Drosophila melanogaster: one gene and its partner. The protein of the gene in region 2 interacts with the protein of the main gene of each other region in a pairwise test. Each region holds a gene or a part of one and is shown on either strand. Other genes may lie near its edges.

Region 1 (6,484 bases), on a different chromosome or scaffold from region 2:
TTATTCAAATTTCCTTCACCATCTACAGCGGACAAAAATCGGAATTTGATTACCCAGTTCAAGGAAGTGTTTGTTGTTTAGGTAGCCAGATCCACAGAATCGATCGAATGGAAAACCCAATATCGGCAGAACCTTATCGCTGTCTGTCGCCGTCTGGCAATGTGAATCGGTATTCCAAGAAAGGAAAATAAACACAAACAGCAGGCAGTTGGTAGGGATGCGGAAAACGGGAGGGAGCAATGCAAAAGGAGGCGTGGTACATTGGGTTTCCACACCTTTGAGGTGAGAGGATGCAACCGAGTGTTATCCCTTACTAACTTCCACACTTAATTACAGTTACATTCAAAAAAATGCTACTACCTTTATATCCTAATTGTTATATTAAAATGTTTAAAAAAAAAAAATTAAAATGTTTTTACGCTCGTATTAAGGGACATTAGGATATGGCCATAGATAATGGATTTATGCCAACTTTGTAAATGAGGCAACAGCTAGCAACGGAAAATAGATAGTGTGGCACTTGCAGCAGTCACAACCATTAAACTTGCACCCTCTTTCCGGTGAAGTTATAGCCATCTCTCGCCGTGCTGCTCATCAATTTTCCGGGCACGTTCTCAAAATGTTTTCGACGACAGGGAAAGGAGCTACGAAGGAGCCGAGGAGGGGGGCATAACCACGAATGCCAATTTTGGCAAAAACAAGTGACAAACACCAAAAACAGGACACAAGATGGAAGGAACGGCAAAAACAAGATTACAGACTGCTTTAGATGGGTGAGAGGGGCGGGCGGGCGTTTGCGAAGGGGTAAAAGGCCATCGCACTATTTATGTGCAAGTAGTGTGTGTAGAAATTTTTCGGGCCAATAAGTCACACACCAATAAAGGCAAACAAACCAACAGGCAAGCGAACAAACAAACAAACAAACAGGCAGTGAAAGAGGCAAACACAGCCATCGAAATTGGCAATAGCCGGATGCTTTTGTTGGCAACAGACGATGCCAAAGATCATCGTGACCAGTAGCAGAAGTTGTATCAAAAACTGGCCCAGAACCCAGGCCCAAATCAAGAAGTGCTTTCCAGTGATGAGCTGTGGAAAATGCAACTGTAAACTCTTTGCGGAAAATGAAGAAAACTGGCTGTTAAATTTTTACCGTATCTCAATAGAACTTCTAATTTCGGATAATTAACTAACAAGAAAGCACGGAATGTAATAAATGTGCTAAATTACATAAAATACTTGGTGAAGATAAGAAGGAGACATTAATATTGCCCTTTGGGCTTGCGGCCTGATTCATTAGCTGGTTTTATTATCAGCCAATAAATCTTAATGTGAGTAATTGCGCTAGATAACAAGAAAAGCTGATAAGTAATCCAACTCAAGTCTTCAAATTAGTTTTTAGAATTTAAGTGAAATTATGCAGTTTAAATCCAACTTTTGCCTTCACTAATACATAAATGTCAACTTGGCAATTGTTTTAAGCAATTTACACAACTTGCCCATTAATTTAACCGGTTTTGCTAAGTTAACACCCTTTAAAAGCAGAGTTTACAATCGGTAAATCTAAATTAAACTACTCAATTAATGACAAAAATACTGTGTGATGAGTGGAAAACACCAAAGAGGCCAGTTTCGAATCTGTAAACAATTTTCAAAACAGCACATTCAGACACCAAATGATCTCATTGGGCAGAGCAGGTGATTAAAGAAAGCACGAGAGACGAATAGAAAGGAATTCGTCGGAAATTGAATCATCTCTATATCTCCGAGTAGCATTCCCCATATGAACGTGGCGGCATATCTGTTTCTGTGGCGGCACTCATCTCTCATCGCTAATGGGTAACAGTCGACAACATCGATGGATGGCTGGATGCGATGCGTTGGAGTCGATGACCATTTCGGATTTGCAGCCTTATTTGACCAGCAGCCGCCTCGTCCTCTATATCGATATCTATATCTATGTATAACTATCTATATATATATATTGCACAGTGCCGATGTCTGTGCGTCTAGTTCACTGCCATATTTATGCGTTCGCAATGCAGACGTTTTTAATGTCTTTTCTACAAGAAGCCAAGGAGTGGAGCAATGGAGCCAGAAGCTTACGGCTTACATTCATCGGGACATGGAGGCCTTTCCTCTTCATTATCTGCAGCCACAAATTGCATTCAGTGCAATGCCTTGGAGATTGACCATGCCCATGCCCGTTGCCCGTCAAGCCTCTGCCACATGGTACATGGGTATATGACACATGTATCCACCTTGGGGCTGCCGAATTTTGCATGATAAGTGCAACAACAAGAACAACAAGAACAACAGAAACAGCATTGGACAACCGCAAACCGCAAAAACAACTGAAGTGAACAAGAAATCGAACCGAACTTGGAGTTCCGAACCCTCTCAAGGTGGCGAAAATTGGGAGTTCGGATTGCTGATTGAATCTGCCTCGATTTAATTGGTAAGCAGTTACAAGCAGCAATGGGCTTACGCAACTATGCTTTTGAAAGGGGCCACTTAAATGCTCCACTTTGTGCCCAAACTGGTGGGCATGTGTATGTCGTTACAAAAGGATAGCAATGTCTAATAATGACCCATTCGTAATTAATCAAGCTGTGTGACGTATTAATATGAATAAGCATTCAATGGCCATTAAAGCCACATTAATATTATCACAAAGTCGGCTAAATTTCGGTTGGCCAGGTAAACTTGAAGTTGGCCATTGATTTTGGCTTATCTCAACGTAAACTAATAACATTTGGTAGTTTCGGGTGTAATTTTTGAGATCTTACCTGATCTTGAGCGTGGGTGGCGGCTACCAGAACTCCGATGAGAATTGCGACTAGCAATAGCGGCTCTACGGAAATCTTCTGCTTTGGCTTCATTTTCCCCGTTGGTTTCTTCTGCGGTTGCTGTTGTTGTGATTTCAGCTAATGGCTTCCAGTTTTGTTTATTGATTTAAAGATTAGAACTGGCGGCGGCACACATATATAAATATATATATTGAGCTATATATATTTCTTGCAGCTTTTTAAACTGGTTTCACACTAGAAGAACGCTGTTTAAATACACACATGAAACTATGATTATTATGATTATTTATTTTCCAGACACACACTATTCCCGATGTGTTATCAATCGAATTGCAAAACAAAAGAGATAGCGTTGGTTGGAGAGACAGGGTATTAATTAAGCATTACACACTGTAAAATTAACAACAATTTATCGTATGCGCGCGCGGCTAAAATCAAAGAAAGGAAGTAGAAGAGCGGGGGTAATAAACAAAACGTTTACGCAGAGAGAAAAACACAAAAATAAAGAGGAGACAACAGCGCAACTACTGTGTGTATTGGTGTGTGTGTGGGTGTTTTAATCGAATTCGATTTTTGTAATTTATAATTTTAAAAACATAAAATTTAACAAATTTTTCGTATAATACACTGTATTTTCCTTTTGTTTTTCTGTTTTTCCCTTTGAATCCAGAGATTTTTCAACGAAAAAAAACACGACCGCCCACCACTACAACTACACCATACGCATTCGTATTCGCTCTCCGTCTCCTCTCGCGCCCTCTCTTTCCCACTAACGCCGCTATGGCGGCTTCTTTATGTGTCTCTTTTCTCCTCTGCTTCGCCTGCCTCTTCTTTTCGTATCTTTCTGCCCGTTGTTTTGCTGCGTTTATTTTCGTTGCATTTATTTTTGCTATTTTGCGCACCTTTTCCTCTCCGTATTTACAAAATTGCACTCGCGATTCTTTTCGGGGATGTACAAATTTCTTTACACTCGAGTGCCGACCAAACAACAGACACGAAATCGCGCTAAAATCCGGACGTAACCGTGCCTTCTTCGCTCCGTAAAATTTTTTCGAATGACTTGGCCAATGTTACCAGATGCAGAAACGACTCAATTATCCAAGCTGTGCATTTCCTAAAAAATACCAATTCTTATGCTTAGCTGGGTGATGACTTAAATAGACACTCCGAAACGCGTACTCATTTAAAATTTATATATTTCTGTTACAATTTCGCGATTAAAAATGTTACTTTAACATCTTGAATTTTTTTGGTTTTATTCTTATGTTACTGTTTGTTTACATGATTTGCTTAAGATATTATTATAGAATTATTAAATGTTTGATAGGCAAATAATAATTCAATCAAATATAATTAACATTTTGAATTCATTTAAATCGGCAAGATTTCATATTTAAATGCTTATAGTATTTTTCTTGAGCTAAGCTGCGGTTACACTGATTTACACTGTTTCGGTTGCTCGTACGTTCACTGTTATTCTGTGATACTGTTAGTTCAGTTGTACAACCCAACATTTTTTTAAAAACACAGACTGGCGGCTAAAATTTCCCAGACCCAATGTTAATAGATTTGTTTGAATTCATACGCATTAATATTGAACAATTGAAGCATTCATATTCGTGTAGGACCCGACAGCTTTTACCTATTATTATTTTCAAATTTGAAAAGGTGTTACGGTTTATGTTAACATTGTAACAGTAACAGATTATAGAGAAAGATAGAACGAGATAGCATCATAAAATACTAAATGAGAAAGGTGCTAATTTGACTTAATTTTTTTTGTCTTTGCAACACTGTTTCCATGGCTATTTTTAGGCAGTTTCTTACAATGTTTTTCGTCACCGAGTTTTTGTTAATAAATTAGCGAGAAGAAAACAAAGTAAATAAGGTGATTGCAGGTGCTTAATATTGCTTATTAAAGGCGAATACGTCCTTGTTTTCCTCATTGCCTTGTTATGACTATATTCGAGGTGTGAAAAAGGTATGAATCACAAGACCGTTTTTTCTCCACATCTTTTTGTGTTGTTTTTTCTCTTTTGCGTTTTTGTGAAAATGCAAGCAGATAAACCTGGTTGGTTCAATTTTATTTAAGGTTTCTGCGGATTTGGTGGCCATGGACTTGGTGGACATTGATCAGGTTTTGGACAATCTGGAACTGAGCATTGCCGCCGATGAGCAGCTGAGTAGAAATGCAGCGGCAGCAGCAGCTGCAGGTGCAAATCCTGGCCGTTTTCTGGGCGACGGAGCAAGTGCATCGATCAGTGGAGTTGGAGCTGGCGCCGGAGTATCGGGAGCTGCGGGAGTAACACCAACACCGGCGTCTGGAAAGTCCTTTGTGGGCGTCTCTCAGGTTTTCAACAGCCTGGATGACTACAGGGAAAATGTGAAGTCCTTGCAGGTGGATGCCCAATTACCCAGCTACGACTGGCAAACGGAGGCGGAACACGAAGACGACATCCACAAGTTCAGCGAACAGGCGTCCAAAAATAACGGCCAGACGATAGTATCGTCCTCCGAATCGCTGACCACCTCATCCTGTTCCACCTTCTCGTCGGGTCCGTCGCCCGTGAGCAATGGCAGTCACTCGGAGGAGCTAGCAACGCCCCCCGAAGATGAGAAAACGAGTGAAGTTCAGGTGGAGCCAAAGGAACAGGATCAACAGCCGGAACAGGTCAAGCATGAGGACCAGCACCAAGATCAGGCTGTTCCACCGCCAACGCAATCCAAACAAACTGTAGAGGAGTTAGCAGTTGGATTGTCATCCATCTCCATCACTGCGTCCGGCACAGAATCGCAATCCCTATTGCCGGAGGAGGTCACCGCATCGTCTGTTCTCGGGCAGGTCCTCGAGGAGCTCTCGGAGGAATCGTCGCCCAGTAGAGAACCCGAAACCGAAATGACCAACGGCATAGATGTCCCATTGGCCAATTTAGTAAGTACTATTACCTTACTTTGTTTGTGTAAATGACTAATAAGTGTAGCGCATTAGTTTAAAAATATTATCAGCTTCATAAATCAATTAAGGTTATAAACTATCTTGACATATAGTATAGTTTATTAATAATGGTGTTACATTTTCAGCCAGCATCTGTTGCGGAAGTACCGGTCCCTAAAGAGATGGAGCAGCCAGTACAAACGGAAGAAGAGGATGTGGAGCTGCCACAGGAGCAGCATCCCAGGCGTAGTCAACCGTTGACCTTCTGCTCCACCATGGACGAGATCTCGGACACCGAACTGGACAGCATGCTGCAAGAGATGGATGCAGATGACAACCAGGCGGACGATCAGCAAATGCCCGACGATGAGAAATCCTGCTCCGCCTCGCCAGTGACCGAGGAGGAGTCGGTGCGGATTCTATCCGATGAGCAGGAGACAACCTCGAACGATCAGATGAACGTGGACAACTTTTCGCAGGCCTCCACTGTGGAGTTTGCTGATCTGAAGCAGCCGGAGTCCACACCAGTTACCGCGATGGGAGAAGATGTAGCCTCCAGTTTCAGCAGCACGGAATCGGATTCCCTTTCGGGCAGGAAACTAGATGGCGAAGTGGAGGTCGATCGAGAGCATGAAGATGCCAGCCTGGCAACGGATGCCCTGGAAACCCAAGAGCAGCGCCCCCAGCGACCACAAACCCTAAATTTGAATGGTTGCCAGGCAGAAAGTTCCACGCCATCTCA
Region 2 (4,826 bases):
TCCTGCACTTTCCCACTACCTCGATGGCTAATCTCGAGTTTGTGTCTAATTGCATTTGCATATTTTGATAATATTCGAAAAGGGGAAATGAAAGTGGCAAATGCATTCGCCATTCGAAATACTCAGTTTAATGCGGATTCAAAGGGAATGGAAAATAAGGGTGGAGGCGGGTGTTAGTGAAATTTAATTGCATCGTGCGAAGAAATCCCGTTTAATTACGGCGATTAACTGTAATAATTTATTAGTTTTTGCTTAATTTGTGACATGTGCAAACAATTAGTGATTCAATCGCATGGCCAAAAAGGAAGCAATAATAACTTTGACTAATTAGCTGTGTGCGGTAGGCTTAATTCGTGGCGAAAATAATATGGCTGAATCACAGAAACAATTAATACGCTTTTTTTATTCGTTCGTTAAGTTTTGTAGTGCCACATACTAAAGAGTAGGAAAAAAAAACGTTGATAAGTAATTACTCTCATTGAATTTGCATTATTTGTTAATACTTTACTAATTTAAAAAAAAATTAAAGGAAGTTAGATTTTACCTATTTATAAAATAGTTCGATTTAAATGTAAGCATAGGACATATAATTTTAGCAAATTTTTTTTGTTTTTAAAAAGTAACTGCACTTGAAAATGTTTTTACACAGGATATGTACATTTTAAATGTACTCCACTGTAAGATTACACAAAATCATTTTTTTTACACGTTACTTACACTGTTAAGTGACAAAATTAAAGGTAGCAAATATCTAAATTATTAACCCTACTTATTAAATATTTTATATATTTTATATTCAACATAGTCATAAAAAATTAAACATAACTATTTAAATAAATATAAGTGCTGAAGATATAACAATAAATTGCTAAAGCGGAATCACTTCTGTAAAATAGCCTAACGCCTCGTTCTCTCTGTTAACTGCTCTCCGTTTGTCAACACTAAAATGTTAAACAAATAAAATTTTTTGCGAAGCACCGAAAACAGCAACTGTTTGTAAAATATCATAAATTATTTATTAAATTAATTAAAACCAACGGGAAAATGGCAGCAAAAGTAGCGAGCGGCACGAACAAAGTGTTCCAGAACGTGAGTATGGGTGAATCATCAAAGGACAGCTGACTAAGATGAAAAGTAACCTCACTTTGTCATGGTTTTTTCTGTGCATCTGCTCAATTGAAATTTATGATATATATTTTAAATCGCATTTTCAGCACGATGACGTGCACATCTCCTTCGAGGATCAGCAGCGGATCAACCGCTTTGCGAAGCACAACGCCCGCATGGATGACTTCAAAGCGGAGCTGGAAACGAAGCGCAATGAGCTGAAGAGCTTGGAGGAGGCGCTGGAGGAGATTGAGCTGTTCGACGAGGACGAGGACATACCGTTCCTGGTTGGCGAGGTGTTCCTCTCGCACAAGCTGGAGAAAACACAGGACATGCTGAAGGAGACCAAGGAGCAGGTGCTCAAGGAGATCGCCGGCGTGGAGGCCAAGGCGAAGGTTATCAAGGCGGAAATGGACGAGCTGAAGGCTCATCTGTACCAGCGGTTCGGCAGCAATATCTCACTGGAGGCCGAGGATTAATCCACAATTGATCAATTGTTAATTTAACATTTTACAAAATAGAGTACATTTAATTTAAACTCAACTAAACGCGATGTCTTCAGATTAGAGCACTAGGAAATAGATGATCAGGGCGATGATAAGCAAGGTGACCACCACTCCTCCGATGAATATCCGACGATCCTCGACCAGCCGGCGTTCAATAAGTTTCATCGTGTGATTGGACAGACCCAGTGTGCTGCCTATCGCCTGGATTCTCTTGTGCGCTCCGCCCAGCGTCATTCTCTGCGAGATCAGGCTCTCGAGAATGCCGCTGCCCGAGGCAATCATGTCGTCCACACCCCGATGGGCGTTACCCAGCTGCGTATGATGCTGCAGTTCGTAGTCCAATTGCAGGCGCGTTTCCTCCGGCTGCGCGCTGTTTGCCGTGAATCTGTGATTCAGCAGCTGTTCCCTCTCGGAGATCTCCTGCATCCGTCGCTGTCTTCGTTCCCGCGCCGTCTGCAGTGATGTCTGCAGGTGTCTCAGGTCATATTTCAGCTGATCCACACGAAGTTTGGAGCTTTGTCGCTGCGAAGGTGGCACCTTATACAACAGCACATCCAACCGATCGCAGTTTCTAAACACAAAAGATTTATTTAATAATACAAACTCCTCTTGGGATAATATATATCATTGTAGAACTCACGCGTTCGCCTGGGTAATCTTCAATTGAATGCCGTTTTCCACGTCAAGCGATTCCTGGGCACTGAGCTGACTCAGTCGCTGGAAATCGCGCTCGATGTCCTTTACCACATTGTTGGTTTGGTGGTACAAGCTCTCCATGTCGTTACACCTATTGATTCCGCATTAATTTATGGGCCCGAGAATATTCGCAAATTAATATTTAATCGGTTGCAATTGGTTTGTTTTTAAAAAAGCTGACGCGTTAACATTGGACAGAGTGTCATGTTAGTTAACAGCACTGATAGCAGAGCAGCTGGCTGCCGTTTTTGGTATGACCATATATTATGACAAACTTATCAGCTAATGCAACTATTAAATTTCCTTTTTATTTTCAGAGAATATGCTATATATTGTTAAATAATGATTTTTAATTAGTGACCAAATATTGCACTTGACGGCGCTGTTAAGTGTTACCACTGTTAACGGTGTAAAAATCAGAGTTGTTAAGCAAGCCAAGCAAAACCTAAACCGCACTGGTCACATCGCACTGGAAACGCGTTAGCACACTTTTACGGTATTTTAGCACTTAGCATTAACCACAATGGCGAATACATCAAGTACCGGCGTTGGTAAGAAATAAAATTGATAAATTAGCAATTTGGCAGCTTAAAAATGCGATCCCCGCACGCCCGGAGTTGTTGGCCATCCGTTTTCTGCATTTCCCGCTGACCGGCGGCGATTTTTCCGCCGCTACGGACCCGACAAGCGGACCGCAATGTGATTGTGTGTGTGGTGCAAAACGGGCAAAAAGAAGACGAAAGCAAGGGCGAAAGACGAAAGCCGATAAAAGCGAAATGGGCGAATGGAAATTTATTTTCGCCAGCGGACCACGCTGCTCTTGCAATTTTCCTTGGCCGCGTTTGGCGTTGGAAAAACTCCGTTGCAATTGGGCTTCGTGACTTGACATTTTCCGAAATATCATCCCCGCTCCTTCCTCACTATGTGGCTCTCGCTCGCTCGCTCGCGCACGCTCTTCTTCTTGCCTTCATACTTAAAGTTTTTTCTTTATTTTCCTTATTTTTTGCACACTTGCGTTTTTGCAAGCTGCCTTGTCTTTTCTAATTAAATTAGCTGCCATTTACATTTGCCTGGATTGTTTTTGCAAATGCAGAAATTATGCTTTCGCCCCGCCCCCGCCGACACACCCTCCCCCCGCGCCCATCGTGCTTAATATCTGCGCTTCGCATTTTTTTTTTTTGACTTGTGTTCTCTGCACGAAAATGCGTACAAAGTCACACGGCCGAAAACAAAAACAACACGAGAAGCAGAGCGCAAAACAACAACAACACGTACCCATATGACCCCACACTGAGAGGAAAAGTCGCCGAAATATCACCGAAAATGGTTTATACCATAGAAAATGTGTAGAACAGTCCTTACTAGTTTGTTTCTAAATAGATAAAACTGTCGTTTATAATTATATATATGTATCTTATCTGTACGAGCCCGTGATTATAATTATTTAGAAAGCTAAGTACTTTCTTGCCCCGCCAACCAGAAAATTAAAAACAAGCTGACATTTAACTTAATGACTATATTTAAAGATTTAAGTTTTTCAGTGAAAATGCATTATGTCATCGAGTTCTCACCTCTTTGCCGTTTCACATTGCAGTGGTGCCACGGAATTTCCGCTTACTGGAGGAGCTGGATCAGGGCCAGAAGGGCGTGGGCGATGGCACCATATCGTGGGGCCTGGAGAACGACGACGACATGACGCTCACCTACTGGATCGGCATGATCATCGGTCCGCCTAGAGTAAGTTTCCATATCGATTGGACTTTCCTCGCTACGTCACCAGATAAGCCCGGTTTATTAGGCAATTCTGTAGGATTATTGACATCTTATCGCTTAGATTGCGCAGACCATTCAGTTTGGATAGCACCTTGTATCTTTGAAGGCAGTTTATCTCTTCAGTGCGATGGAATTTGATAATATTTGCATTTCATTAGCACCGCTGATGCAACTCATTGTGAGTGTGGGTTTCAAAAGTCATTGGCTTCATTAGCTTCTTATGTGGTAAATATGAATATAAAATGTACCTCTGCTAGATTTTAATCTTATATGAAAACTACAAGCTGCAATCTGGGATTATTGCTAGAAAATATAGGTATAGAAACGCTCGTGCTAATTTATTCTTATTTTATTCACAAGAAAATATTCCACTTTACATGCATTTATTGGGGAAAACAAGGCTCTAGCCTTGAATTACTAGCAAGGAAAGCGGCGGAAAACTAAATTTGCATTTAATTTTTGTATAGTCTAGAAGTGTTGCGCGCGCCGCCGCATGAATCATTGAGGAGTTTGGGTGGCAGGGTCTTCTAACAGAGCCCCAACTTGGTTTAGTTGCATTGGCAACTAAAGTGGAGAAGCGGTGGACTAAGGGGAATGGGAGCGCCTGACTCATCGACACTCTGGCCGCAAGTGCACAGAGTATTGAATCATTCAAGAATCATTTAAAGCTAATGGCAAACTCTTGTGTTTATTACAGACACCATTCGAGAATCGAATGTATTCACTAAAGATCGAGTGCGGCGA

Evidence for each region.
Region 1: the proteins of Membrin (region 2) and Sdc interact in a two-hybrid assay, tested with the Drosophila melanogaster proteins (one large-scale study listed by BioGRID).

The regions. Positions count from the first base shown.
Region 1 is NT_033778.4:21,477,305-21,483,788, forward strand, and holds the start of Sdc (syndecan), read right to left. Parts: upstream 3,873-6,484; 5' UTR 3,710-3,872; intron 3,075-3,709; exon of another isoform or gene 3,053-3,074; 5' UTR 2,880-3,052; coding exon 2,787-2,879; intron 1-2,786. Other genes in the region: Sara (smad anchor for receptor activation), read left to right, coding at 4,921-5,739, 5,889-6,484. UniProt on the Drosophila melanogaster protein: Cell surface proteoglycan that bears heparan sulfate. Required for axonal and myotube guidance, is a necessary component of slit/robo signaling and is required in the slit target cells.
Region 2 is NT_037436.4:5,364,163-5,368,988, reverse strand, and holds Membrin (membrin), read right to left. Parts: upstream 2,535-4,826; 5' UTR 2,391-2,534; coding exon 2,254-2,390; intron 2,185-2,253; coding exon 1,671-2,184; 3' UTR 1,608-1,670; downstream 1-1,607. Other genes in the region: Pfdn4 (prefoldin 4), read left to right, coding at 1,045-1,089, 1,215-1,586; Uev1A (Ubiquitin-conjugating enzyme variant 1A), read left to right, coding at 2,833-2,860, 3,904-4,046, 4,780-4,826. UniProt on the Drosophila melanogaster protein: Involved in transport of proteins from the cis/medial-Golgi to the trans-Golgi network.